Callithrix jacchus: one gene and its partners. The protein of the gene in region 2 interacts with the protein of the main gene of each other region in a pairwise test. Links are inferred from orthologs where the notes say so. Each region holds a gene or a part of one and is shown on either strand. Other genes may lie near its edges.

What was found.
Region 1: the proteins of phospholipid scramblase 1 (region 2) and CCER1 interact in a two-hybrid assay, tested with the Homo sapiens proteins (2 studies listed by BioGRID and IntAct). The two-hybrid records come from large-scale screens. The link is inferred for Callithrix jacchus from reciprocal best matches to the Homo sapiens genes PLSCR1 and CCER1.
Region 3: the proteins of phospholipid scramblase 1 (region 2) and RGS3 interact in binary tests that used the Homo sapiens proteins (3 or more experiments, as listed by UniProt). The two-hybrid records come from large-scale screens. The link is inferred for Callithrix jacchus from reciprocal best matches to the Homo sapiens genes PLSCR1 and RGS3.
Region 4: the proteins of phospholipid scramblase 1 (region 2) and ESR2 interact in binary tests that used the Homo sapiens proteins (3 or more experiments, as listed by UniProt). The link is inferred for Callithrix jacchus from reciprocal best matches to the Homo sapiens genes PLSCR1 and ESR2.
Region 5: the proteins of phospholipid scramblase 1 (region 2) and SLC35A2 interact in a two-hybrid assay, tested with the Homo sapiens proteins (2 studies listed by BioGRID and IntAct). The two-hybrid records come from large-scale screens. The link is inferred for Callithrix jacchus from reciprocal best matches to the Homo sapiens genes PLSCR1 and SLC35A2.
Region 6: the proteins of phospholipid scramblase 1 (region 2) and CRY1 interact in a two-hybrid assay, tested with the Homo sapiens proteins (2 studies listed by BioGRID and IntAct). The link is inferred for Callithrix jacchus from reciprocal best matches to the Homo sapiens genes PLSCR1 and CRY1.
Region 7: the proteins of phospholipid scramblase 1 (region 2) and MVP interact in a two-hybrid assay, tested with the Homo sapiens proteins (2 studies listed by BioGRID and IntAct). The link is inferred for Callithrix jacchus from reciprocal best matches to the Homo sapiens genes PLSCR1 and MVP.

The regions. Positions count from the first base shown.
Region 1 is NC_133510.1:90,189,116-90,192,524, reverse strand, and holds CCER1 (coiled-coil domain-containing glutamate-rich protein 1), read right to left. Parts: upstream 2,243-3,409; 5' UTR 2,190-2,242; intron 2,061-2,189; 5' UTR 1,823-2,060; coding exon 647-1,822; 3' UTR 501-646; downstream 1-500. UniProt on the Homo sapiens protein: Regulator of histone epigenetic modifications and chromatin compaction into the sperm head, required for histone-to-protamine (HTP) transition.
Region 2 is NC_133518.1:38,674,083-38,676,679, reverse strand, and holds the end of phospholipid scramblase 1, read right to left. Parts: intron 2,302-2,597; exon of another isoform or gene 2,200-2,301; intron 1,954-2,199; coding exon 1,792-1,953; intron 890-1,791; coding exon 833-889; 3' UTR 501-832; downstream 1-500. UniProt on the Homo sapiens protein: Catalyzes calcium-induced ATP-independent rapid bidirectional and non-specific movement of phospholipids (lipid scrambling or lipid flip-flop) between the inner and outer leaflet of the plasma membrane resulting in collapse of the phospholipid asymmetry which leads to phosphatidylserine externalization on the cell surface.
Region 3 is NC_133502.1:161,766,176-161,770,180, reverse strand, and holds the start of RGS3 (regulator of G-protein signaling 3), read right to left. Parts: upstream 2,801-4,005; 5' UTR 2,786-2,800; coding exon 2,683-2,785; intron 1,188-2,682; exon of another isoform or gene 1,085-1,187; coding exon of another isoform or gene 1,006-1,084; intron 1-1,005. UniProt on the Homo sapiens protein: Down-regulates signaling from heterotrimeric G-proteins by increasing the GTPase activity of the alpha subunits, thereby driving them into their inactive GDP-bound form.
Region 4 is NC_133509.1:98,924,358-98,927,857, forward strand, and holds part of ESR2 (estrogen receptor beta), read right to left. Parts: intron 567-3,500; coding exon 267-566; intron 1-266.
Region 5 is NC_133524.1:49,472,968-49,476,954, forward strand, and holds the start of SLC35A2 (UDP-galactose translocator), read right to left. Parts: upstream 2,801-3,987; 5' UTR 2,791-2,800; coding exon 2,700-2,790; intron 1,162-2,699; coding exon 979-1,161; intron 1-978. UniProt on the Homo sapiens protein: Transports uridine diphosphate galactose (UDP-galactose) from the cytosol into the Golgi apparatus, functioning as an antiporter that exchanges UDP-galactose for UMP.
Region 6 is NC_133510.1:109,859,856-109,863,355, forward strand, and holds part of CRY1 (cryptochrome-1), read right to left. Parts: intron 2,109-3,500; coding exon 1,924-2,108; intron 1,512-1,923; coding exon 1,423-1,511; intron 1-1,422.
Region 7 is NC_133513.1:29,674,046-29,677,545, reverse strand, and holds part of MVP (major vault protein), read left to right. Parts: intron 1-681; coding exon 682-918; intron 919-3,500. UniProt on the Homo sapiens protein: Required for normal vault structure. Vaults are multi-subunit structures that may act as scaffolds for proteins involved in signal transduction. Vaults may also play a role in nucleo-cytoplasmic transport.

The DNA of each region.
Region 1 (3,409 bases), on a different chromosome or scaffold from region 2:
CAGTTCCACAGAAGCAACTTCATGTTCTTCTGAGGAAGATCCATAGCACTGTGGAACAAGGAATATAAATGAGCGATGCCACAAGAGACTGCAAATGGGGTTAAGAAAATACAGCCCTCAAAAATGAACTCTGAAGGTGGAAAAATCTATGAGGAAAAATATTGTTGAAAAAATGCAGGAATTTAAAATGGCTTCAGTTTTGTTAAGAGCACTGGTGAACATTCAGTAGCCTTAGAATGTTCTTCTTAAGCATGTAACATATTATTTCTTAATTCCAAGATCAGCAGTGGCTAAGTTGTATAAATTTGTTGCAAAAACAAAGCATTTTTTTTCAGCATTATCAGATTTAAAAAACAATCCAATTTTCTAGAGGGGAAGATATCAAATGAAAATATTCAAATGTAAGTAATAAAATATTTGGCCTTTAACCAGTTCCAGTAAATTTATATTTGAAAGCTCCCTCCCCCCACCACCCATAGTCATACACAACCACATCAAATTTTAAACATTTTTTAATGGCCAAAGAAGGTGTTTACATAGATCTGTTTATTAATGGAACTCACTTTTTAATCAGTTTTTAATAAATTGCTAATCTAGTTTAGCCTCAAATCAGTTCCATCCTTTTCCTCAATCCCTTTTCTGATGTCTAACAGTTAAAGTCCTGTGCCAGGAACAGGGATTCCTGTGGTATGTTGGGAATTATCTGCTCTGGGTTTAAAAAAGTACAGTTTATAAAGTTCTCTCTCGTTTCTTCAGCCCCTACAAAGAGTGATAAAGGCATTTCCAGAGGCAGGTGAAATTCTTCCCCTCCCTGCCTGTTCTCCTCCAGGCCCTCCTCTTCCTCTTCCAGCTCCTCCTCTTCCTCCTCCTCCCCTTCCTCCACATATTCAGCCTCTTCAACCTCTTCCTCTTCATCATCTTCGACCTCTTCTTCCTCCTCCTCGCTCTCTTCCTTTACATCACACACCTCCTGGTCATACTCATCATTTTTCTCCTCCTCCTCCTCTTCCTTCACCAGCATAGGGGCAGGAGACTGGTTTTCCTCTGGGGTAGGACTGAATGCTAGAGGATTCTGTACAAGGTCATACAAAGTTTCCTGCAGCGCCCAGGTTTCCTCGCTGCCGCCAGGGGGCGCGTTGTTTCCGGAGGATCCTGCTGGGAAGGCCTCGCCGCCCACCACGGCCTGCTGCACCCTCTTCGCCTCCTGCTGACGCTCCAGCTCCTTCTGCTGCCTCATGTCCTCATAGATCTGGTCCATGATGAACTGGGTGGTGTTGCGCGGCGCTCGCAAGCCAGGCGCTCTCCACTCGTACGGGCTGGCCGGCCGCAGCGGCATGCTCAGATCCCCCGGCGGGCTCCGCGAGGAGGAGCGGCGAGGGTGGTGGCGCGGGCCGCGACCTCTGCGGCCCCTGCGGCCCCAGCGCTTCTTCTTGCCTGGGGACCTCGTCCAGCCAGGGTTCCAGGATCCGCTCCAGCAGGAGCAGCAGCAAAAGCAGAGCGGGTGCAGGCCGTACACACTAATCACTTGCACTCGGCCGGGGGGCCTCCAGAATACTGGAGGGGGTGGGCGCCAGGGCCCTCCCCAGCACCCCCAGTTAGAGCACACGGGTGATTGGAACCAAAACCCCGGGCTGTGCTGTTGCTTTGGCTGTTTCCTTGGGGGCCCATACTCGGTCTTGGGGCCATAGCGGTGCCATCTATTGTACACGGTAGCGCCCCGGCGCCTTCGGTAGCAGGACGACCAGGAGTGCAGGGAGGACGAGTGTGCTCCACCGCCACCCAGGTTCACAGGGTCTTCTTTCATGTTGAAGGTCTCCGTCATGGTTCAGGGAGCTCTGAGAGGTCTGGATGGCAGCGACCCAGAAGCTGTCAAGTTTGGCCAAACGGGACGGTGGGAAGAGCCTCGTCTGTTTCTTCACGCAGCGCCACGTGTCTGCCCCTGGGATCACGTTTTACTCTCCAGGAGGCCGCTGTCTTCCTGGTTTGCTCGCTCTTCGGTCGTAATCTCTTGTCCTTCGCACCCGGGTTGTCTCGCCCAGGTATGCTGGGTGAGACAGGGGCTGGGTAAGGATGGTGGGGGAGGAAGGTGTTGGCAGGCGACACGCAGTGAGACCCACTCCCGGGTCCCCCCACACCCGGCTCGGCTGAGGCGCCGGCGGGGGCCAGGGAGGCAGGGGTTGTGCGGTTACCTTACTGCTCCCTCTCAACCCAGGTGCTTCACTGTCACCGTCCTGGCGGGACTGGTGTGGCGCAGGTAGCAGCAGCCTTTATATACCCGCCGTGGCCTCCCGCGTCCCCACCAAGACAACAGCCAGGGCAACAGCCAATTGGGGTCGAAATCGTCCTCCCTGTGTAAGACCGGGTTCTAGCCAGAACCAGGCTCCAGGCGAACATTCGCAGGGGGCTTATGACGCAGTGTTTGAGGGAGGCGAAGCGGGTGTCCAGGCTGAGTTTGGGCTGCTCAATCAAGCAAGGCTGGAGGGAGTTTAGCTGAACGCGTTGTATCGCCTTGAGTCAGGGGTTTAGAAGATGGGCCTTCAGCTGAACCGGGTGGGGACGGGAGAACTTGAGTATTGGAAACCCCACATTCTACACCATTGGATGGCCTAAGGGATAAAGGAAAATTACTGAAGAAAGAAAACTTGGCCCATTCTCTTAACCTTCTGGCCGGTGCCAACTCTTCTTACTCTTGGGAATCAGGATTCATAATAAGTATAACAAGACCACAAACATTTTTATTGCATGTGCTCACTGACAAATAATCCTGTCATCGAGCCTGAGGGACAGGCATATCTTATCACCTGTCACAGATGAGGGAACTGAGAGGTTACTTTCCCCGTGGTTGTGGGGCTAATAAATTTCTGGGCTACTATTTAAGCCTAAACCTGTTTGACCCCAAGTTAGGTTCTTAGTGGCATCGCTATATGCTCTCCCAAACCACCAGTAGGACTTTTGTGATAACTAAATGACATACATTTTGGAAGGTACTTTGCTATTTGTAATATATGCACCTCAATTAAACAAATATCATTATTTCCAGGATGAATACCACAGGTTTGTCCTTGGGAATAGAATATTCCCGTTGTTTTTCCTTTTATCCCTTCACTGACCATACAGCATATACAAGGGAAGCCTTTAAAGCATTGTGGTTAAGCATGTGGATTTTAATTTAAATAAATGTGATTCAACTTCAACTCACCAATTACTAATCTCCTTAAGCCTCAGATTCCTTACCTATACCACAATTATACAGGAACATTTTTCCAAACAGTTGTGTAAAGAATTCAATGCATATAGCATGTCCTCTAATAATGTTTTACTCAATGTCATTTCCTTATAGCGTTGCTGAGGCAAAACAACCAAAAAAAAAAAAAAAAACACATTTTTAAAATGTCTTTCCACTTAAAAG
Region 2 (2,597 bases):
TTGATTATTGGTATAATCTAATAGGTCATTATTTAGGTTTATACTCTGTGAATACATATATGTTATATTTAATTAACATCTGAATAATTTCAATTACCATTTTTTAGGAAGAATAGAGTATAAGAGCTAAACATTCCATGTTTAAATATTAACTTTCAAAAGTTATAATAATACCAGAGTTTTACAGTGAAGGAGTGTTTAAAACCTGTCATTCTTTGGGAGAGAATCATGTTGTTCTTTAATAACAATAATTTAAAAATTGGTAATATCTTGTGAATATGAATAGCGTATTATTTATGGTACAGATTAGCTTCCAGGAGAAGTTAAGTGTAGCATGATTTCCTGAAGATTAAAAAAATAAATACATCTTTTTAAAGATAATATGCGTAATGAATATTATTTGAATATAATAATAAATTATCTGAAATTTTTTGAATATATGGCATTTGTAAAATAACATTATTGGTTAGGCATGAAATAAATTGTAACTAGATGTAATAGAATGAAATATAATTTATATTAAAACTAATAAGGCATTAATTAATATTTGGTAGTAAAACAGAGATCATGATTCAAAGCGGTTTTTCATAGAAAGTTTCATTAACAATTGTAAAAACTCCTATGTCCTTTTTCTCAAATTCACAGTGAGTATTAAAAAATGCATAAAAGCCTTTATAAATCAGTTATACAGAAGATAAACTCAATAACTTGCAAAGCAAAAGTATACAACCAGAGCTACCAGCATTACAGCTTAATTTATATAGGTATGAGTTTAGATAGTCCTGATCAATATACAGACTTCAGATCTTCTAAGGAGACTTTCACTAATCCACTACCACACTCCTGATCTTTGTTCCTGGTTGCCACTGCTTTCAAAAAACATGAAGTCCTAGACAAAAACAAAAATACACAAATGAATTTTCAGCAACAAAACAGAGATCAATTATCAGATGCAGAAATGCTAAGGGATCTAGTGAAACACAGTAACATATCTGTTAAAAAATTAACTGTAATAAGTAAATAGAAGAGAAGAGCTCTATAATTATATAAGTTCCACCTTTAGCTTTCCATTTTAATAATAATAGAATTCTATAATTCTATTTATTTATTGATACTTGTAAGAATTTAATTAATCTTCTGGTCTTTTTCTCTAAGTGTTCTCCATCCCCCTAATTCTCATCTTTGGCTGCATATTAAAATCACCTGGAACACTATACAAACTTTGAAGTTTCTGATTTAGTTGAACTGAGGTATGGACTAGTACTTGGGAGTTTTTAAAGGTCCCTAGGTGATTCTAATGTGAAGACAATTTCAGAAGCACTGGTATAAACAATCATTTCCTGTAATTTGGCAGTTAAGTCTACACACTTGAGTGAATGTATACTCTTACTGTAGTTCATACTCCTATATTAGATAGTTTAGTTTAATTATTATGAGTCATGGTAAAGTTTTCTTGTTTCACTAAATTTTTTCCACACACCCACTTTCAACTCTTCCTCAAAGCATCTAGGAGATGCTTGATTTAAGGAGAGACTAAAATATCTCCTTAGTACATCTCCTTAGTCCCTCACTTGCCATGTGAAAATCCATAGTCTCTTCAGATAGAAACTAGTCACCTGTGACTCCAGAGGGTTAGGATCAAATAGAATTTCAGAGCTAAGATTAAATGGGAATCCTGGTTTAAAATCTACAGATTTTAAAATATAATTTTGAAATATATACTTTACTGAATCACTTCAGAATAAACCTAGAGAAACCATCTATAATCAAGATTAGTAAGAACAGACTTACAATGAGGAAACAGGCACCAAGCATTACAGCTTTCATTTTAACATCAAGGTCTAAAGGGAATTGGATCCCAAAGTTATCAGCGTCTGTAAATGCCTCTCTCAAAATTCCAGTCCAGTGCTTGGAAATTTTGCCAACTATATTTTGTTCATCAAGAGATTTAATCTAAATTGAAAAGAATTATTAAATATTTTTAGAAAACTTATAGCAAAAGTACTTTCAAATTTGAAGATGAAACAAATACGGCATTAAAATTATGGCCCATATGTAACGATGAACATGTAACCCTCATTAGATACTTAGAGGCTCCTTTATCTATTATAGACATATGAAAAAGAAAAGATTTCATTGTACAGAAAAATTATATGAAAGTAGTTTTTCTGAAATATTTAACATTTTCTATTAATACAGACATTAAAAAATTATTTGAATTGACCCAGAAGAAAATTTGAGCAAAAAAGGATATAAATATGAAATGTTTCTTTGATGACAATTCTGGAAGCCATCAGGAAGGTAATGAACAAAACTCCCATTAGATTTCTGCTTTAGAAGAAGCATAGTTTACACAGACTGAAAGATTAAATATGATGAAAAGGCTTATTACCACCCACTGTGAGTTGCCAAACATGAAATGCTAAAAGCCTGGAAAAGATTAGCAGTTTTGAGTAAAGGCAAATACCTAATAAGTAACTTGATGAAATGCACCATGTCAAGGGTTGAGGTAAGAGTGGATAAATAGCAGGGTGTGAGCAATAAAAGACGAAGAGTATATGAACAAATGAGCTCCAAAGTAGAAATTTTCCAATTTT
Region 3 (4,005 bases), on a different chromosome or scaffold from region 2:
TGGACAAGAGTAAGCCTGAAAGCAGAAGAGCCAGGAACCCCAGGGAGGGACCAACTCCTTGGGCACTCTGTCTCTGAAAGCTGGGCAAAGTCCAGTTATGTTGCAGTAATAGCCCCAACATTTAGAAGGAAATTGTATGCAAGTTCAAACAAAAATGTGCTGGACAGGTCATCTCTGGAAGGCTTGAGTTTAGATACCAACTCTGCCACTGGCTCATGGAAGATCTCTTGGTTTCCAGTCTTCACAGAGGAAAAATAACCCCTCTCCACAGAGGGTTACAGGACCAGTGAGAAAATGAAGGGCTACACTCTAGGGAAGCCTTGTTACCTTTACTATGGCTACCGGGAAGGCCAGGTTTGCCCACGCTGTTGGGCAGCTGCTGCCCACCTGTTACTTGAGGGAACTCAGTCTGCTACCTCCGGGCTTGGGAGTGAGGCCTACTGTTTATTTCTTTCCACCTCAAGCCCTGAGGAAGCCCTAGGACCCTCCTAAGGGATTGTTCTGTCTTGGAGGAGAGAATTCTCCCATCTCCACTGTGGCTGTAATACCCAACGAAGTCAGATTTCAGCCTCCAAGGTGAGCCCGCAAAGCAGCAGGGCCAAAGGACCCAGCACCTGTCTGCTCCCTGAGCCAAAGGAAAGTGGGTGAATGAGATCTCCAGTTGCAATAACAAGACCTTGATTTAACCTGAGCTGCTTGCTAATGAGAAACTCGGTGGTGACAACCCGGTCTCGGAAAGATTAACGAGAGTGTGATTATTCCAGCCAAGTGAGGCAGAACCAACTGCAGTTGGCACCCATGGCTGGGCAGCAGGTGGTGTTCAGCAAGTTGCTTGTCCTGAGCCTGTGCCCTGAGCAGAGTCTCAGGACAAAGGGGTTAGAGACGGTGCCCTCATATGGGAAGAGCACCTTCTCCCAGCCTCATCTGTCACCACGAGGGGCTGCGTTTCTGGGCGCTGCGAGCAGGGTGAAGCAGCCCCTGCCGCCAGCCCCAGCGGGCACTTACCAAAGGTGGTGAGGTAGAAAGACAAGTCCGGGCGGGCACGCCGGCTCCCGAGGGAGACGCGGTGCAGTGAGCGCTCCATGGCGTCCCGCTGCGACCCGGACAGCAGCGCCTGCGACCCGAGGCGGCTGTGTTGCTTCCCAGTAACCGAGGCAGCAGGCTCACCGCCCCCGGCGGAGGCGTCTGCAGGGCGGGAGAAGCGCGAGCGGGAGGCCTGGCTGCACTGCGCGTTGGAACGGCCCGGGCGCGCCCGGCTCTGATTGGCTCGCGCGGGTTTGAATGAAGAGAGGTCCACCTGCCGGAGCAGCGCCAGTCCGGGGTGGGGGAGGCGGCGCCGGAGACCCGCGCAGAGCGCGAGGGCAGCCACCCAAGTAGCCGGCGGAACGGCGCGGCCACCCAGGGGCTCCAGGCTCCAGCACCGCGCTCCTAGTTGGAAGGGCCAACCCCACAAGTTCAGTCCGGGGTGCCCACAATGGGCAGGCTTGGCCTCCTCGCCCAGCTCTCCTAGACCAGCAATTAGTCGGGTTTATAACCTGCTTTGAAGCTCAGACCTATAATCATTAGATCCAAGCAAGAGCAAAGGAGCATTCGATGGCCCAGGGCAGTGGGGTTTGGAAAAGTGCTCTCTGCGCTTGGACAGGTCGCCCCCAATCAGGCTGCATCCCCCTCCCAAACCCTGCGTCCTAAAACACTCTTTTGAGCCTCCTCTTGAATGACACAGGTCCAGATGGGAGCAGCTTGCTCCAACCACCCCGCTGGCCCCCCCATCCCACAGCCTGGTGCCACTGGACAGCAGGACAGGCCCACAACCTCTGAGAAAGAGGAACGCACAGGAAACGGTGGGGGTGGGTGAATCTCCCAGCCTGGTGCAGGGAGGCAGAGCTGGAAGGTCAACCCCTGCGCTGCTTTGTCGGCAAACATTTACAGGACACCTCCTGGGAGCAGTTTCACACCAAGGCATCTGCTCTGCAAATCTCTGACTGTTGCCACTGTGGGAAGGAAAGCTGTTAGTCTCATGTAAATCTAAAACTGGGAAGTGTTGGTATTTGTCCCTGTTCCCCAGACTTCATTGCCAAGTGGATATTTGTGGTTCAGTGATCCACTCAAAAACAAGATGGGGAGATGCAAGAGAGAAAGCCGGGAGAAGAGTTATGTGTTGAGTACCAGATGCCGGAGGCTGAACTGGGCAATTTATATACATCATCTCAGTTAATCTTCAGAGTAAGTCTAATAAGTATTAGCCCAATTACCAGAGAGAAATCTGAATCTCTGGCAGAGAAGACAGATGACATGTCCAAGGTTTGTAGAGCTAGGAAAGGAGCTGAAATTTGAACCCAGGCCTGTCTGCCCCAAACACTATTGTCCTATTCTTCCTTGGCCTACACATCTGTCCTGTGGCCAACAGCAGGTGAAGGGAGCAGACACCACAGGGTCAGGTAGCCACCAGCGAGGAGCAGAAACTGGAGGAGCCTGGAATCAGCAAACTGGTGGTCCAATACAAATAAGTCACATAAATGCCAGAGGATTGCTTGAATCCTGGCACTTCGTGAAGTCCTGCCCTGTTCTTTACTGCCCTACCCCCTGCTCCCCTACCCTCCTTACACACATACCCAATGAACACTGCCTTTAACAAGGGAAGGCCCATTCTCGTAGCCTCAAGCCAATGGCAGACGGACTTACCTGCACCCTGGACTTGGGCACACCTGATCCTCCTCCTGGCTGGAGAAGTTTGAGTCCATGCATCTCTTCTGGGAAGAGAGATATCAGGGCTTAGCCACTCCATCCAGCCAGGGAATATGGGCAACCTCAGGCTGAAGCCACAGGATGTAGACAGGACACTGAACCCAGAGACATGCAGGAACAGGATGGGAGCATGAGTTTTGCATGGCCTGAAGATGCCCCATGCAACGGATGTTCACTCCCAGGAGGAACTAGAAAGCATGGTGTTCAGGAAGCAGAGCAAAGGAAGGCCCACAGGGAAAGGGAAGGTGATGTGCCCAAGATGACAGTCACCTCTTCACAGCTTTGCCAGAGATCACTGTAGAGCCTCCTCCCAATGAGGAGACTACCTTGGACTCAGGAGGCCATGAGCAACCTGGAGGTGAAACACTCAGAAGGGTGAGATCCAGGAGAACTGGGCAGAAGTGTGCTATCTTAAAGTGACCTAGGAGAGAAAAGACCGAGACCCACACTGGGCACTTACACCTAATAATGGGAACAAAGATCCCACTGCTTTGTAGAGGGATCTCCTCCTGACTCCTGCTCCACTCAGCAGCTAACCTATTCAGTTTGAAGATTCAAAGGCCAGCCTGATCCTGATCTGGTGGTACTACCTTCACGACCACCAGTAAGGCTCCTTTACTTAGTGGCATGCTGGAAGCTTCCTTTTCCTAAAAGGACAGATCGGTCACCCTTTTCTCGAGAGATGGAGGAGAGAAGTGAGTGGGAGACTGGGCAGGGCACTTCAGGAGAGACTGGCCCTATTAACCCACACTGCTGTCCACAAGCAACATCCAGAAAGGGTCATGGTCATGGCTCTGCTTTCCCCAAGAAGGCAGGGGAGTTTGACCAAGCCTGGCTTTCTCACATGTCCTGAGCATTCTAGCACTCCCAGGGCCTTAGTATCTCTCTTCCACCTCACACATGTCCATACACACTCCACACATACATCAACATACCACACATCATCCATTCTGTGCACATACATACACATACCTTAACATATCCCATGTACACACACAGTCACATCATAGGCACATATACACACACATAAACACACTACATACACACCTCAGATACATATACAAACACACCCCACACATTATAGATGCATCCTATGCATATATGTAAGCACACATCGCACAGACACATGCACACAAAACATACATTACATAGATGCCACATTCATGTACACAGATTGATTATAAGCACTTTTAGCATAATACAGTATCAAACAATGATTTTAGGCATTTTTTGAAAGACCGACTATATCTGGAAGAATAA
Region 4 (3,500 bases), on a different chromosome or scaffold from region 2:
GGGTGACAGCTCTTTCTGCACTACCATGTCTGGTACTGAACTTAGAGGAGTCTTAGAATTCTAAATCGGAACATGGCCTTGTTGAAGGTAGGTATGCCAAGATGGGAGCAAAGAACATATTGCACTCAGAAGTTACAAATCCAGCTGTGGAACTGTTAAATATCTAGGCACAGCTCGTGGACCTCTACTTTGTACTCTTGCCCCTTAAATATTAGCAGCAGGCCTTTCTACAAGCACATGGAAAACTAATAGCCAGAAGGCCCTACCGGGAATCTTCTTGGCCCAGCTGATCATGTGTACCAACTCCTCGTCGGCCAGCTTGGTCAGGGACATCATCATGGAGGCCTCAGTGAAGGGCACGCTGGGGCGGCTGATCAGCACATGGGGCGGTTCGGCCTCCAGGAGGGTGAGCACCAGCTGCTCGGGGCTCAGGGCGCTCAGCAGCAGCTCCCGCACTCGGGGCACGTGACCACCACTTCTCTTGGCCTTGCCGGCGCAATGCAGCTGCTCCTCGGCATTTCCCTGTCTCCGCACAAGGCGGTACCCACATCTCTCTCTCCGGGAGCCTGAAGAGGAAAGCAGAGTCATTCGAATTGCCAGGGTAAAACCACAGTCAACTAAAAGAAGCCTGACTCTTCAGCGTGTAGGGCACATATCAAAGATTACTATGGTCTTGACTCTACTAGCAAACCAACAACATAACTTTTCAGCAACTTTTCAGGTCTCCATTTCCAGGTCATCTCTAGATGCTAACTCCATTTCTCTATAAAGAGCGCTCACATACCTGTTTCCAAACCATGAAATTAGGAATTTTCTTCAGGTAGAAAAATGGGGATATTTCTGAAGGTATCAAATAATACACTTTTATTATAACACATTCTTAAAATGTTTATATGCATGTGTGCATATATTTATATTTCTTTTCCATACTTACACAAAACAAGTATATTTCAAAAAACTAAGTGAAAAAAATCTGGAGAATATAAAAGAGAATAAATTTTGGCATAAACTCTTTGAGTCTTTTTTTTTTTTTTTTTTTGAGACGGAGTTTCGCTCTTGTTACCCAGGCTGGAGTGCAATGGCGCGATCTTGGCTCACTGCAACCTCCGCCCCCTGGGTTCAGGCAATTCTCCCGCCTCAGCCTCCTGAGTAGCTGGGATTACAGGCACGCGCCACTGTGCCCAGCTAATTTTTTGTAATTTTTAGTAGAGACGGGGTTTCACCATGTTGACCAGGATGGTCTCGATCTGTTGACCTCGTGATCCACCCGCCTCGGCCTCCCAAAGTGCTGTCTTTCAGTCTTTTTAATGCTTTTATGTTTTTCCATGTTTTATACACAAAATTATTTATTTATTTATTTATTTATTTATGAGCCGGAGTCTCACTGTGTCAACCAGCCTGCAGTTCAGTGCTGCAATCTTGGCTCATGCAACCTCAGTCTCCAGGTTCAAGCAATTTTCCAGCCTCAGCCTCCTGAGTAGCTGGGAATTATAGGTACCTACCACCACACTTGGCTAATTTTTTTTTTTTTTTTTTTTTTTTTTGAGATGGAGTCTCACTCTGTCGCCAGGCGCCAGGCTAGAGTGCAGTGGCACAACCTTGGCTCACTGCAACCTCTGCTTCCCAGATACAAGCAATTCTCCTGCCTGGGCTGCCCAAGTAGCTGGGACTACAGGCACATGCCACCACGCCCAGCTAATTCTTGTATTTACTTAAATAGAGACAGGTTTTCACCACATTGGCCAGGCTGGTCTCAAATTCCTGACCTCAGGTGATCTGCCCATCTCAGTCTTCCAAAGTGCTGGGATTACAGGCATGAGTCACTGCGCCTGGCCTTTACATACAAAACTAGATTGTAGTATATACACAATTTTATTTTCATTGTATTTTTGAGAAAGAGTCTCACTCTGTTGCCCAAGGTGGATATAGTGGTGCAATCATAGCTCACTGCAGCCTCCATCTCCTGGGTTCAAGCAACCCTGCTACCTCAGCCTCCTGAGTAGCTGGCACTCCAGGAACATGCCACCATGCCCAGCTAATTTTAAAATATTTTTGTAGAGATACGGTCTATGTTGCCCAGTGCTCAATAGTTTGACTATTTTCTCAGACCCATTTGGCATTAAAAATCATTTTTAATGTGTGCTAATCTAACAAATGACTAAACCATCTTGCTTTACTTTGTATGTTTTAATTACTAGCAAATTTGATTTATATGCTTATTCTTTGTATTTATTTATTTATTTAGAGACAGGGTCTCTCTGTCCCCCAAGCTGGAGTATGGTGGAATGGTCATGATCACAGCCCGCTGCAACCTCAACCTACCAGGTTCAGGTGATCCTCCTGGGTAGCTGGGACTACAGTGTGCACCGCCACACCTGACTAATTTTTGTATTTTGTGTAGAGACAGGGTCTTGCTATGTTGTCCACACTGGTCTTGAACTCCTAGGCTCAAATGATCCTCTTGCCTTGGTCTCCCAAAGTGCTGGGATTACAGGTAGAAGCCACCACATGCAATCCAATATTTAAAGTTTTTGTGATACAGAAACAAGGTGGAACCAAAATACCTAACAATAACATGTAAGATGAGAGATGAATGACTTTGGTTAGAATTTCTAAAATTCTTTTTTTGGGAAGATAAAAGCTTAAATTCTCATATTAATCAAGAACACATGTTGAAAAATAGAAATGTCACTAAAGGAATTTAAATGTGGCTAAGCATGGTGGCTCACACTTGTAATCCCAGCACTTTAGGAGGCCAAGGGGGGGAGGGATCACTTGAGGCCAGAAGTTCAAGACCAGCCTGAGCAACATGGTGAAACCCTGTCTCTACTAATAATACAAAAATTAGCTGGGCATGGTGGCATACCCCTGCAATCCCAGCTCTTTAGGAGGCTGAGGAAGGAGAATCACTTGAACCCAAAAGGCAGAGGCTGCAGTGTGCTGAGATCGTGCCATTGGACTCCAGCCTGGGTGATATAGCGAGACTCTGTCTCAAAAAAAAAAAAGGGAAATAAAACAGAATGTATGACTTTCAAACTAGTAAAAGAAGAAAAATAAAACAAAAATGTGATTAAATCCTAAAAGGAAAGAAGTAGAAAATACATAAAAATTTTAAAATCACAAAATAAGATAGAAATGAACCCAAATATTAGTTATCACAATAAAGAAAAAATACTAAATTGACCATTTAAGAGTGACTCTGAAATCCTATATATTTTTAAATCTAGACATAGATTAGTCATAAGAGATATACCTCACATACAGAAAAACAAAGTAGACAGAAAAATATATAACAGGCAAAAATTAATCAAATAAATTGATGTTACTCTATTGATATCAGACAAACTTTAAGGCAAAATTTATTATTATAGATTAGGAGACTCATTTCTAGAATATTAATAAAAGATAAATAATTCTAAACTCATATACTTCAAAACAACATAGGCCAGGCACAGTTGGCTCACACCTGCAATCCCAGCAATTTAGGAGGCTGAGGCTGG
Region 5 (3,987 bases), on a different chromosome or scaffold from region 2:
GGCATGCACGACAACACCCAGCTCATTTTGTAATTTTAGTAGAGACGGGGTTTCATCATGTTGGCCAGGCTGGTCTCAAACTCCTGACCTCAGGTGATCTGCCGGCCTCAGCTTCCCAAAGTGCTGGGATTACAGGCATGAGCCACCGTGCCTGGCTATTTATTTTTTTGATACAGAGTCTCGCTCTGTCACCCAGGCTGGAGTGAAATGTCGAGATTTTGGCTCCCTGCAACCTCTGCCTCCTGAGTTCAAGTGATCCTCCTGCCTCAGCCTCCCAGGTAGCTGGGATTACAGGCATGCACTACAACACCCAGCTCATTTTGTAATTTTAGTAGAGAACGGGTTTCACCATTTTGGTCAGTCTGGTCTTGAACTCTTGACCTCAGGTGATCTGCCCACCTGGGCCTCCCAAAGTGCTGGGATTATTTATTTAAAAAAAAAAAAAAAAAAAAACGCACCAAAACATTTATTCAAGATAATATGGGGGAATTTCTTCCATACAATATTACTCTGTGTGGGATTAACTTCAAAATAGAATGGGATAAGGACATAGGTAGACATATAGATTGGCAGTGAGTGGACAATCACTGATGATGATTAATGAGCAGCCAGGAGTTGCTTGCTGACTCTGGGGGATGGGTACATGGATATTTACTATTTGATTATTCTCTCTAAGTTTGCATTTGGAATTCTCCATAATATGAAGCTAAAGATGACTAAATCACATGTGCCATCCCCCTGCTACTTTATAAGTATAGACAATCACTCCTACAGTCCACACAGGCCGGCTCCCCACCTTTAGGGCTAGAAAAGTGTAAGATGCAGCTACGCACAGCTGGAAGGGTTCCCCAGGCAGGTTCAGATTTGGAGACAACTGAAGCAAACGCTCTGTGTGAACACACACACATACATAAGGAGTCCCACCCACTGACCCCAGTGCAGCCCCCTCCCTGGATCGTACCCCTCCCTGGCTCGTACCCCTCTTCTGTGCGAAGAGCAGCAGCAGGCAGGTGAGACCTTTGAGCACTTCTGCCATGACCACAGCAGTGGTGGCAAAGAAGCGGTCCCCAGGCAATGTGCGGGCGTAGCGGATGCTGAGGATGAGGGAGGCATTCTGGACCACCAGCACGGCTAGGGATATGTACTTCAGGCGCCTATGAGCTGTGGGGAATGGAAGGAGCAAGGGGTAAGGGAGGGGTCAGAAGCCACTGGGGCACAGCCACACCACCACCCACCCCCTCTACTTTGTCACCCAGGACCCTCCTAGCCACCGCTACTTGCTCCCTTAGCCTGCATGCCCTCACCCAATGAAAGTCTGATTCCTAACAGCTTACTACCTCAGCCATGAGCAGGAAGAGCCAGAAGGGAGAAATGGGCCCCACCCTGTCCAGTCTATACCTGGAACCCTTACCGAGGTGTCAGGAATGGCTGAGGTAAACCCTGGCCGTGTGCCTTGGCTCCCTCCCAAGTGAGAAGCAACTCTTCCCCAGGCAGAATACTGACAATTACATTCTCCATGTTTATTGTTCATGTGTACCTATCACTGGGTTAAGGGATTTCTATGGATTACTTCAAGAGACTCTCATATCTTTCTCATCTCTAAAATAACTGCAAGGATTCCCATTTTATGGATGAGCAAACTGAGGATTTATATGAAATGATGCTCCTATTTAACGAGGGACTGGCCCATGTAAAGAATAAATCAGTGCAGGGAATGACGCCACTGTATGAGGTATGTTCACCCCCTAAGGACTGGTCATTCTCCCATCTAAGAAATTATTTGATTCCCTCACACTCAGAATGGCCTATATCACATATGGAATGATCCTCCTCATACTCAGAATGGTCTCTCCAACCCCTCCCTCCTGTGACAACTGGTTCCTCCTGACCCGGAATAATCTACTAAATATAAGAATTGATTTCCCCATGCTCCCAGGGACTGAATCCTGCATCAGAAATGGTTATCCCACTAAGAATGGTCTGGCTCCCTCAAACAGATGAGGACATATTTCCCTGCACTCCAAAGGGACCATCCTCCCACCACCGCACACCGACCCTCTAGCTAATGAACTTTTCCTTGCTCTACCCACACTCACAATTAGCTCTCTCTGCTGTAAGGAAGGACCCGGCACCCTCAGAATGTTCTTTCTCCACCATATAACGATGAGCCCTCCACCCGAATGTACAACGATCTCTACCTCCATTAGGAAGGGAGCCCCCAGCACGATCTTCTCTGCACATAATGAAGGACATCCCCATCCTCAAAATGGACCCTCTCTAGTCATATAAGGAAGGAGTCGACCTACCCTCAGAATAGTCTCTGTCCCTTTATAAGGAAGGAACCACCACCCTCAGAATAGTCTCTCCCTTCAACGAAGAACTCCCACACCCGCAGAATGGTCTCTTCCACACGGAAGGACCCCACACATTCAGAATGGTTTCGGTGGCCTTAGCCTCCCCAAAAAGAAATACCCTCCACACTGACAATGGTCTCTACTCTCCATATGCGGAGGGATCCCACAATCAACCTCACAATGTTCTCTTCCCCGCCCCCAACACACTCACAAGGTGCGCGCGCGCGCGCACACACACGTCGGACCACACGGGATGCTCCTTCTCACTTTAGTAAGGACCATTCCCAACTCCTAACAATCGTGACCTCTGCCTCCACGCCACTGCTCGGCCGCAGACTGTCTCACCGGCACTCGCGGTCCCCGGCTCCAATACACCCGCGGAAACCACCCCTGGCCCGGCCGCTGCGGTGGAACCACCAGCCCCAACTGCTGCCATGTTGGCATCTGCCCGGCCCGTCCCCTCGGCAACAGTAGGCTACTTCCGTGTTCGTCACTTCCGCTTCCGGACCACCTGAGTGAAGGTGGGGTAAGAGCCAGGATATTCAGGGTGGTAGTGGCTTTCCTTGTCCGCTCCTAAAAGCTGAACGTAAGAGTAGCCCCAGGACTTCCAAATTCTGTCGGATCGGGATGCAGGGTACATGGCCCGCTCGGCCTACCCACCGTCCCTACTCAGCTTCACTGGCCCTTTCCCGTCATTAGATCCGCCTTGTCTTGGCGTTCGCGTCCGGTCCGCTCGTTGCACTTTACAGATCACCCCGCAATCCTGTCTCCTAGTCTCATTGGCTCAATCACCCTTTTCATCTCGGCCTTTTATTGGCAGATTCTCTAGAAGACACCGCCCTTTCCGCATCAAAAACTCCCAGGTGCTTCCTGGTTGGACTGAAGTTCCGCTTTCCCGTTCCCCAGGAAGGTCCCGCCCTGGAGAGCACACGGGAATCTAGGGACGAAGACTCTTTGACCTGGCCGGAGCGGGTGAGGGCATACAGGCTGAAGCATCAGGTGAGAGTCAGGCATGTGAACTAGCAGATAAAAGCAGAGCAGGTGACAAGTGAGTCACCATTGAGGATGGCAAAGGAGACAGATGAAAGGCTCACAGGTTAGCTAGCATTTGGAAGCAGGGCAGGAGACCGGGCCGGGGGCGATGGCTTACGTCTATAATCCCAGCACTTTGGGAGGCCATCTGGCAGATCGCCTGAGTTCGGGAGTTCCAGCCTATGGTGAAACCCCATCTCTACTAAAAATAATTAGCCAGGTGTAGTGGTGTGCACCTGTACCCAGCTACTTGGGAGGCTGAGGCAGGAGAATCGCTTGAATCCCATCTCAAATTTTAAAAATGAAAGCAGAGCAAGAGGGGACAGCTGAGGGTAGAACAAGTGAAATCAAGATGGGATAGGGCAGGCCAGGTAGTCAAGTGTTAAGGAGAAACGGGAAGGATGAGTAGTATGTAAGGGTAAAGATGGGGGAAGAGGTTAAAGATAAGAGTAAAACCGGTGACTGCACCCTGCACATCAGTAGACAAGAGCTACAAGATTACAGTCAACACCCAACTCCAGCCCTGCCTTCACCAGTACCCTGATAGGCTTTTCTTCTCCAACAGGGAAAGGGCTTCTTTCCTCCCCATGAGTGTCAGGGA
Region 6 (3,500 bases), on a different chromosome or scaffold from region 2:
CAGGTGGAAGATTCTCCTACCTCAATCTCCTGAGTAGCTGGGACTATAGGCAGACATAACCATGCCCAGCTAATTTTTGTATTTTTAGTAGGAATGGGATTTCAACATGTTGGCCAGGCTGGTCTCAAACTTCTGACCTCAAGTGATCCACCCACCTTGGCCTTCCAAAGTGCTGGGATTATAGGCATGAGCCACCATGCCTGGAAAATGTATTTATTTATTTTGAGATGGAGTCTCACTCCATCACCCAGGCTGGAGTACTGTGGTGTGATCTTGGCTTACTACAACTCTGCCTCCTGGGTTCAAATAATTCTCATGCCTCAGCCTCCCAAGTAGCTGGAATTACAGGCACACACCACCACACCTGGCTAATTTTTGTATTTTTAATAAAGTGGGGGTTTTGGGCTGGGCGCGGTGGCTCAAGCCTGTAATCCCAGCACTTTGGGAGGCTGAGGTGGGTGGATCACGAGGTCAAGAGATCGAGATCATCCTGGCCCTAAAAATATAAAAAAATGAGCTGGGCATGGTGGCGCGTGCCTGTAATCCCAGCTACTCAGGAGGCTGAGGCAGGAGAATTGCCTGAACCCGGGAGGTGGAGGTTGCGATGAGCCAAGATCGTGCCATTGCACTCCAGACTGGGTAATAAGAGTGAAACTCCGTCTCAAAAAAAAAAAAAAAAAAAAAAATGGGGGTTTTGCCATGTTCGCCAAGCTGGTCTCTAACTTTTGACCTCAAGTGATTCACCTGCCTCAGCCTCTCAAAGTGCTGGGATCACAGGTGTGAGCCTCCATGCCTGGCCTTCAACCTGCCTCTTTAACACAAAGGTAAAGGTGAAATAGAATTCTATCCTAGTTTCAAAGTTATGGTCGTTAGATACCAGCTTAGGCAGAAAGAACAGAAGAGGTAGTGTGGTAGTAGCTAAAGGGGAAATAATTAGAAGAGAAGGAGAAAGAACATTTAAGTGAGGAGATGGTAGTTAATTTTCTTTTTTTTTTTTTTTTTGAGATGGTGTTTTGCTCTTGTTACCCAGGCTGGAGTGCAATGGTGCAATCTTGGCTCACTGCAATCTCCACCTCCTGGGTTCAGGCAATTCTCCTGCCTCAGCCTCCCAAGTAGCTGGGATTACAGGCATGTGCCACCATGCCGAGCTAATTTTTTGTATTTCTAGTACAGATAGGGTTTCACCATGTTGACCAGGATGGTCTCGATCTCTTGACCTCGTGATCCACCCACCTCGGCCTCCCAAAGTGCTGGGATTACAGGGGTAGTTAATTTTCAAACAATTAGGTTTATTCTATTTTAACCATTTCCCTTAATGCTCCCCCTTCAACAGTCTATTTGTTATTTTTAAAAGAGAGAAAAATTATTTTTAAATGGCAGTTTGGAAATATGAGCATAGCTATATAATCTATATTGTCATACTTTTCTTTCCAAATGCCTTTCCAAACGAGTAAGTGCTTCAGTTTCTCCACCTGGCCACACTGCAGAGGATAAGCCATCTGTATCAAACCCTAAAAGAAAGAAAAGAAAAAAATATCATTCTTCTGAAACTCAAATAATTTTTATTTAACCCCAATAACTGGGAGAATAAATTACTTTGCAGAAAAATTGAGAGAGTACCATAAAAAGGAACTGAGGGCCTAAAAAAGCCCTCACCTAAAGAGGATATGACATAGTTTGACATGGTTTCAATTTTTTAGGATGTACATCTTAAGGTGATAACAACAGATTACATATCTATAGAACACATAAATGATGAACAAACATATCACTTCTTAAAGAGTTCTTTCTTTCTTCTTCCCCCACCCTTTCTTTCTCTCCTAATGCAAAATACTTTACATGGCGAAATTGAAAGGGAATTTTTCTGAGTTATTTATGATTTATTAACTTTTAAGACTCACACTGATTATAGTTTATACTCACCTAGCTCCTCCAGTGAAGGGACTCCATATTTCTCATCATGGTCATCAGACAGAGGAGTTGTGCACTTTTCTATCACTTCTGAAGTAATTGTCTCTACTGGTATCTCTAGTGGTTCCATTTTGCTGATGAGAGTCTGGAATCTTTTATAAGTTAGAGGCGGTTGTCCACCATTGAGTTCTATGATCCTATAACAACAGTTAGTAAAATGTAGGTTAGTATAAAAGAGGGCAATAAGTTTTGGTTAATAAGCTCCCAAAAGGCTTAAAAAGCAGAAAATAAAATTAATCACTGAAATCTTCAAGGAGAATGTTAGCTTGTTATAGTGACGAAGAAATGTGTTCAAAATGATTAATGAGTTTAAAAATCATTCCCTTTAGCTTCTAGATACTCTAGGTATCAAATATATACACACTATGCAAGTATCAAAACCTTTAAGACAAAGAATATTAAGGACTTATGAGAAAAAAAACCAAGTAAGTAAGTAAATCAGTCTAAAGGCAATAACAAAAAGTTAAAACACACAGACATATGCAAAACACGTTATGGCCCAGCTCAAAGAATCTCTCAATCACCAATAAAAACTAAACCAGGTTGACAATTATATGAAAGAGTAAATCAGCAGGTGTCATTTAGAAAAAATAAATTTAATTGTGTATATTTGAGCTTTACAACACGTTATGGTATGCAAGTAGACAGTAAAATGGTTACTATAGTGAAGCAGATTAACGTATTTATAAATCTCATATAGTTACTTTTTTGTATGTGTGTGACAAAATCAGCTAAAATCTACTTGATAAAAATTCCAAATAAAATACAATTTTAATAACTAAAACCCTCACTCTGCACACTAGACCTCTAGACTTGTTCATCTTATATAACTTCTACTTTGTATCTTTGGATCTACATTCCTGATATGGTTTGGCTGTGACCCTACCAAAGTCTCATCTTGAATTGTAACTCCCACAATTCCTACATATTATGGGAGGTAACTGAATCATGGGGGCAGGTCTTTCCCATGCTGGTCTCATTATAGTGAGTAAGTCTCACAAGATCTGATGGTTTTAAAAGGGGGAGTTTTACTGCACAGCTCCCTCCTTGCCTGCTGCCATCCATGTAAGATGTGACTGGCTCCTCCTTGCCTTCCACCATGATTGTCAGGCCTTCCCAGCCATGTAGAACTGTAAGTCCATTAAACCTCTTTCTTTTGTAAATTGCCCAGTCTTAGGTATGTTTTTATCAGCAGCCTGAAAACAGACTAATACAATTCCCCTATTTCCTTCAGCAAATTTTATTAATTTGGATTCTATATTACTATAAAAGTAAATTACAATTACTTTCTATTTACCATTGTACTCATGCCTTCATTAGAGATGTCAGCATATGTATCTATGACACATACTTAGAACACATAAGCCCCCAAATTTCAAGTTATTTAAATTTACCTTTTCATTTACTTCTGATCACTAATTACCTCAATCAAGTCTTAATTAAAAAAAAAAAAACAACTAGCTTTGCCAATGGTAGTTTAGATTAAGTTTAAACACTATTTTGGAATAACTACTCTTTTTCACTATGGC
Region 7 (3,500 bases), on a different chromosome or scaffold from region 2:
TTGGAAGGCTGAGAGGGGAGAATCACTTGAGGCCAGAAGTCTGAGACCAGCCTGGACAACATGGTGAGAACTCACCTCTACAAAAAATTTTAAAACTAGTTGGGTGTAGTGGAGCGTGCCTATAATCCCAGCTACTCCAGAGGCTGAGGCAGGAGAATTGCCTAAACCCGGAAGGCAGAGGTTGCAGTGAGCCGTGGTCATGCCACTGCACTCTAGCCTGGGAGACAGAGCAAGACTCTGTCTCAAAAAAAAAAAAGCTGGCCGGGCGCAGTGGCTGACGCCTATAATCCTAACACACTTGGGGAGGCCAAGGTGGGTGGATCACCTGAAGTCAGGAGTTTGAGACCAGACTGGCTAACATGACAAAACCTTTTCTCTACTAAAAATACAAAAGTTAGCCAGATGTGGTGGTGCGTGCCTGTAATCCCAGCTACTCTGGAGGCTGAGGCAGGAGAATCGCTTGAACCCAGGAGGTGGAGGTTGCAGTGACCCAAGATCGTACCATTGCACTCCTGCCAAGGCAACAAGAATGAAACTCCGACTCAAAACCAAAAAATAAAAAAAAGCCCTTGATTGGTAGAAATTTTCTCTGAGACCTGGGAGCATTTGGTGGCTAATGGGACTCGCAGATCCCCTGAAGTTGGAGGCAGGTCACTCAAATACCCAAATCTTGCTCTGCAGACAGCCCTGCACCTCCGGGCTCGGCGGAACTTCCAGGACTTCAGGGGAGTGTCCCGCCGCACTGGGGAGGAGTGGCTGGTGACAGTGCAGGACACGGAGGCCCACGTGCCAGATGTCCACGAGGAGGTGCTGGGGGTTGTGCCCATCACCACCCTGGGCCCCTGCAACTACTGTGTGATTCTGGACCCCATCGGACAGGATGGCAAGAATCAGCTGGGGCAGAAGCGTGTGGTCAAGGTGAGGACCCGGCCCCCACCCCCCACCACCACACAGAGGATGACCCTGGGAGGTGAATGCCCTCGAGTAGCACGAGACCCTCTGCCCTTTCTCCCTTCTTTCCTTCAGACGCACGTTCTAGGAACACCTTCTGTGTCTTTGCATGCTTAGTTCTCACGCGCCTGGGACACTGGCCCATTTGATTCCTGGCAGTCTCCAACTTACCCTTCAGACCTGAAGTTACTTCCCCTTCTGGGAAGGTCTTCTGGCTGCCCCCCAGCCCAAGACCCTGAAACTCTGATACAGTCGTGTGTCACTTAACAATGGGATGCATTCTGAGAAATGGTCGTTAGATAATTTTGTCTTTGTGCAAATGAGTGCACTTATGTAAACCTAGATGGCACAGCCTACTATACACCTAGGCTAGATGACGTAGCCTGCCCCGAGGCTGCCCACCTGCGCAGCATGTGACTGTCCTGAATACTGCAGGCAGCTGAACACAATGGTAAGTACTTGTGTATGTAACCATAGAAAAGGTACTGTAAAAATACAGTATAAGGCCAGCTGCAGTGGCTCATGCCTGTAATCCCAGCACTTTGGGAGGCTGACGCAGGTGGATCACTTGAGGTCAGGGGTTTCAAACCAGCCTGGCCAACATCGGGAAATCCCGTCTCTACTAAAAATGCGAAAGCGTGCTGGGTGTGGTGGTACACACATGTAATTCCAGTTACTTGGGAGGCTGAGGCACAAGAATTGCTTGAACCCAGGAAGTCGAGCCTGCAGTGAGCCAAGATTGTGCCGTTGGACTCCAGCCTGGGTGACAGAGGGAGACTGTCTCAAAAAAAAAAAAAAAAACAAAAAAACCCCAAAGCTCCATTATAATCTTACGGGACCACCATGTGCAGTCAGTAGTGGCCTGAATTAGCACGTGGTGACTATTTCACATCTTTTATGTTCTGGTATTCGCTTCGCTTTGTCATCTCTTGTAAAACAAAACTCTGTGTGTACCCTCTCCCACCCCATACCGCATCCCCTCTCCGAACTATATGTGGGATTACCAGGAGTTGCCAAACTCATTCTGTAAAGGGGGCTGGATGGTAGATATTCCAGGCTCCATGAGTCATTTCCGTGGAAGTTCTTCCACTCGGCTGTTACGTCCAGAAAGCAGCACGGGCAGTACGTAAACAAGTGAGTACTGCTGCATTCCTGGAATATTTCATTTGCAAAAAACAGGAGGCAGGAAAAGTAGAAATAGGCCGGGGTTAGTGGCTCCCACCTGTAATCCCAGCACTTTGTGTGGCTAAGGTTGGCGGATCACCTGAGGTCAGGAGTTGGAAACCAGCCTGGCCAACATGGCGAAACCCTGTCTCTACTAAAAATACAAAAAAATTATCTGGGTGTGGTATCAGGTGCCTGTAATCCCAGCTACTCTGGAGGCTGAGGCAGGAGAATCACTTGAACCCGGAAGGTAGAGGTTGCAGTGAGCCGAGATTGCACCGCTGCACTCCAGCCTGAGTGACAGAGTGAGACTCTGTCTAAAAAAAAAAAAAAAAAAGAGTAGAAATAACCCAAATGTACACCATTTAACGAATAGATAAAAAATTGTGGCATATCCATACAATGGAATATCATTCAGTCATAAAAAAGAAATGGCAGGCCAGGCACAGCAGCTCATGACTATAATCCCAGCTCTTTGAGAGGCCGAGGCAGAGGATTACTTGAAGCCAGGAGTTAGAGACTAGCCCTGGGTAACATAGCGAGACTCCATTTTTACTTTTTTTTGGAAACAATCTCACTCTGTCACCCAGGCTGGAGTGCAGTGGCGTGATCTGGGCTCACTGCAACCTCCGCTTCCTGGATTCAAGCAATTCTCCTGCCTCAGCCCCACAAGTAGCTGGGATTACAGGTGCCTGCCACCACGCCCAGCTAATTTTTGTGTTTTTAGTAGAGATGGGGTTTCACCATGTTGGCCAGGCTGAGCGAGACCCCACTTTTACAAATATTTTTAAAAACTGGCCAGGCATGGTGGCACACTGGTAGTCTCAGCTACTTGGGAGGCTGAAGTGGGAAAATTACTTAATTCCAGGAAGTGGAGACCATACTGTGCCACTGTACTCCAGCCTGAGGCAACAGAGTGAGATCCTGTCTCTAGGAAAAAGAAAACAACGAAATGACATAATTTTATGTGCTACAACATGGATTAAAATTGATAAACATTATAATAAGTGAAAGAAGCTGGCTGGGCGTGGTGGCTCAAACCTGTAATTCTAACAGTTTGGGAGGTGGAGGCAGGCAGATCACCTCAGGTCAGGAGTTCAGACCAGCCTTGCCAACATGGTGAAACCCCATCTCTACTAAAATACAGAAATTAGCCAGGCATGATGGCGGGTACCTGTAATCCTAGCTACTCAGGAGGCTGAGGTAGAAGAATCGCTTGAACTGGGAGACAGTGGTTGCAGTGAGCCAAGATCGCACCACTGCACTCCAGCCTAGGTGGCTGAGCAAGACTCTGTCTCAAAAAAAAAGAAAAAAGCCAGACATCAAAACCACATGTTGCATGATTCCATTAATATGAAATGTCCAGAATAGGTAAATAAAGAAAA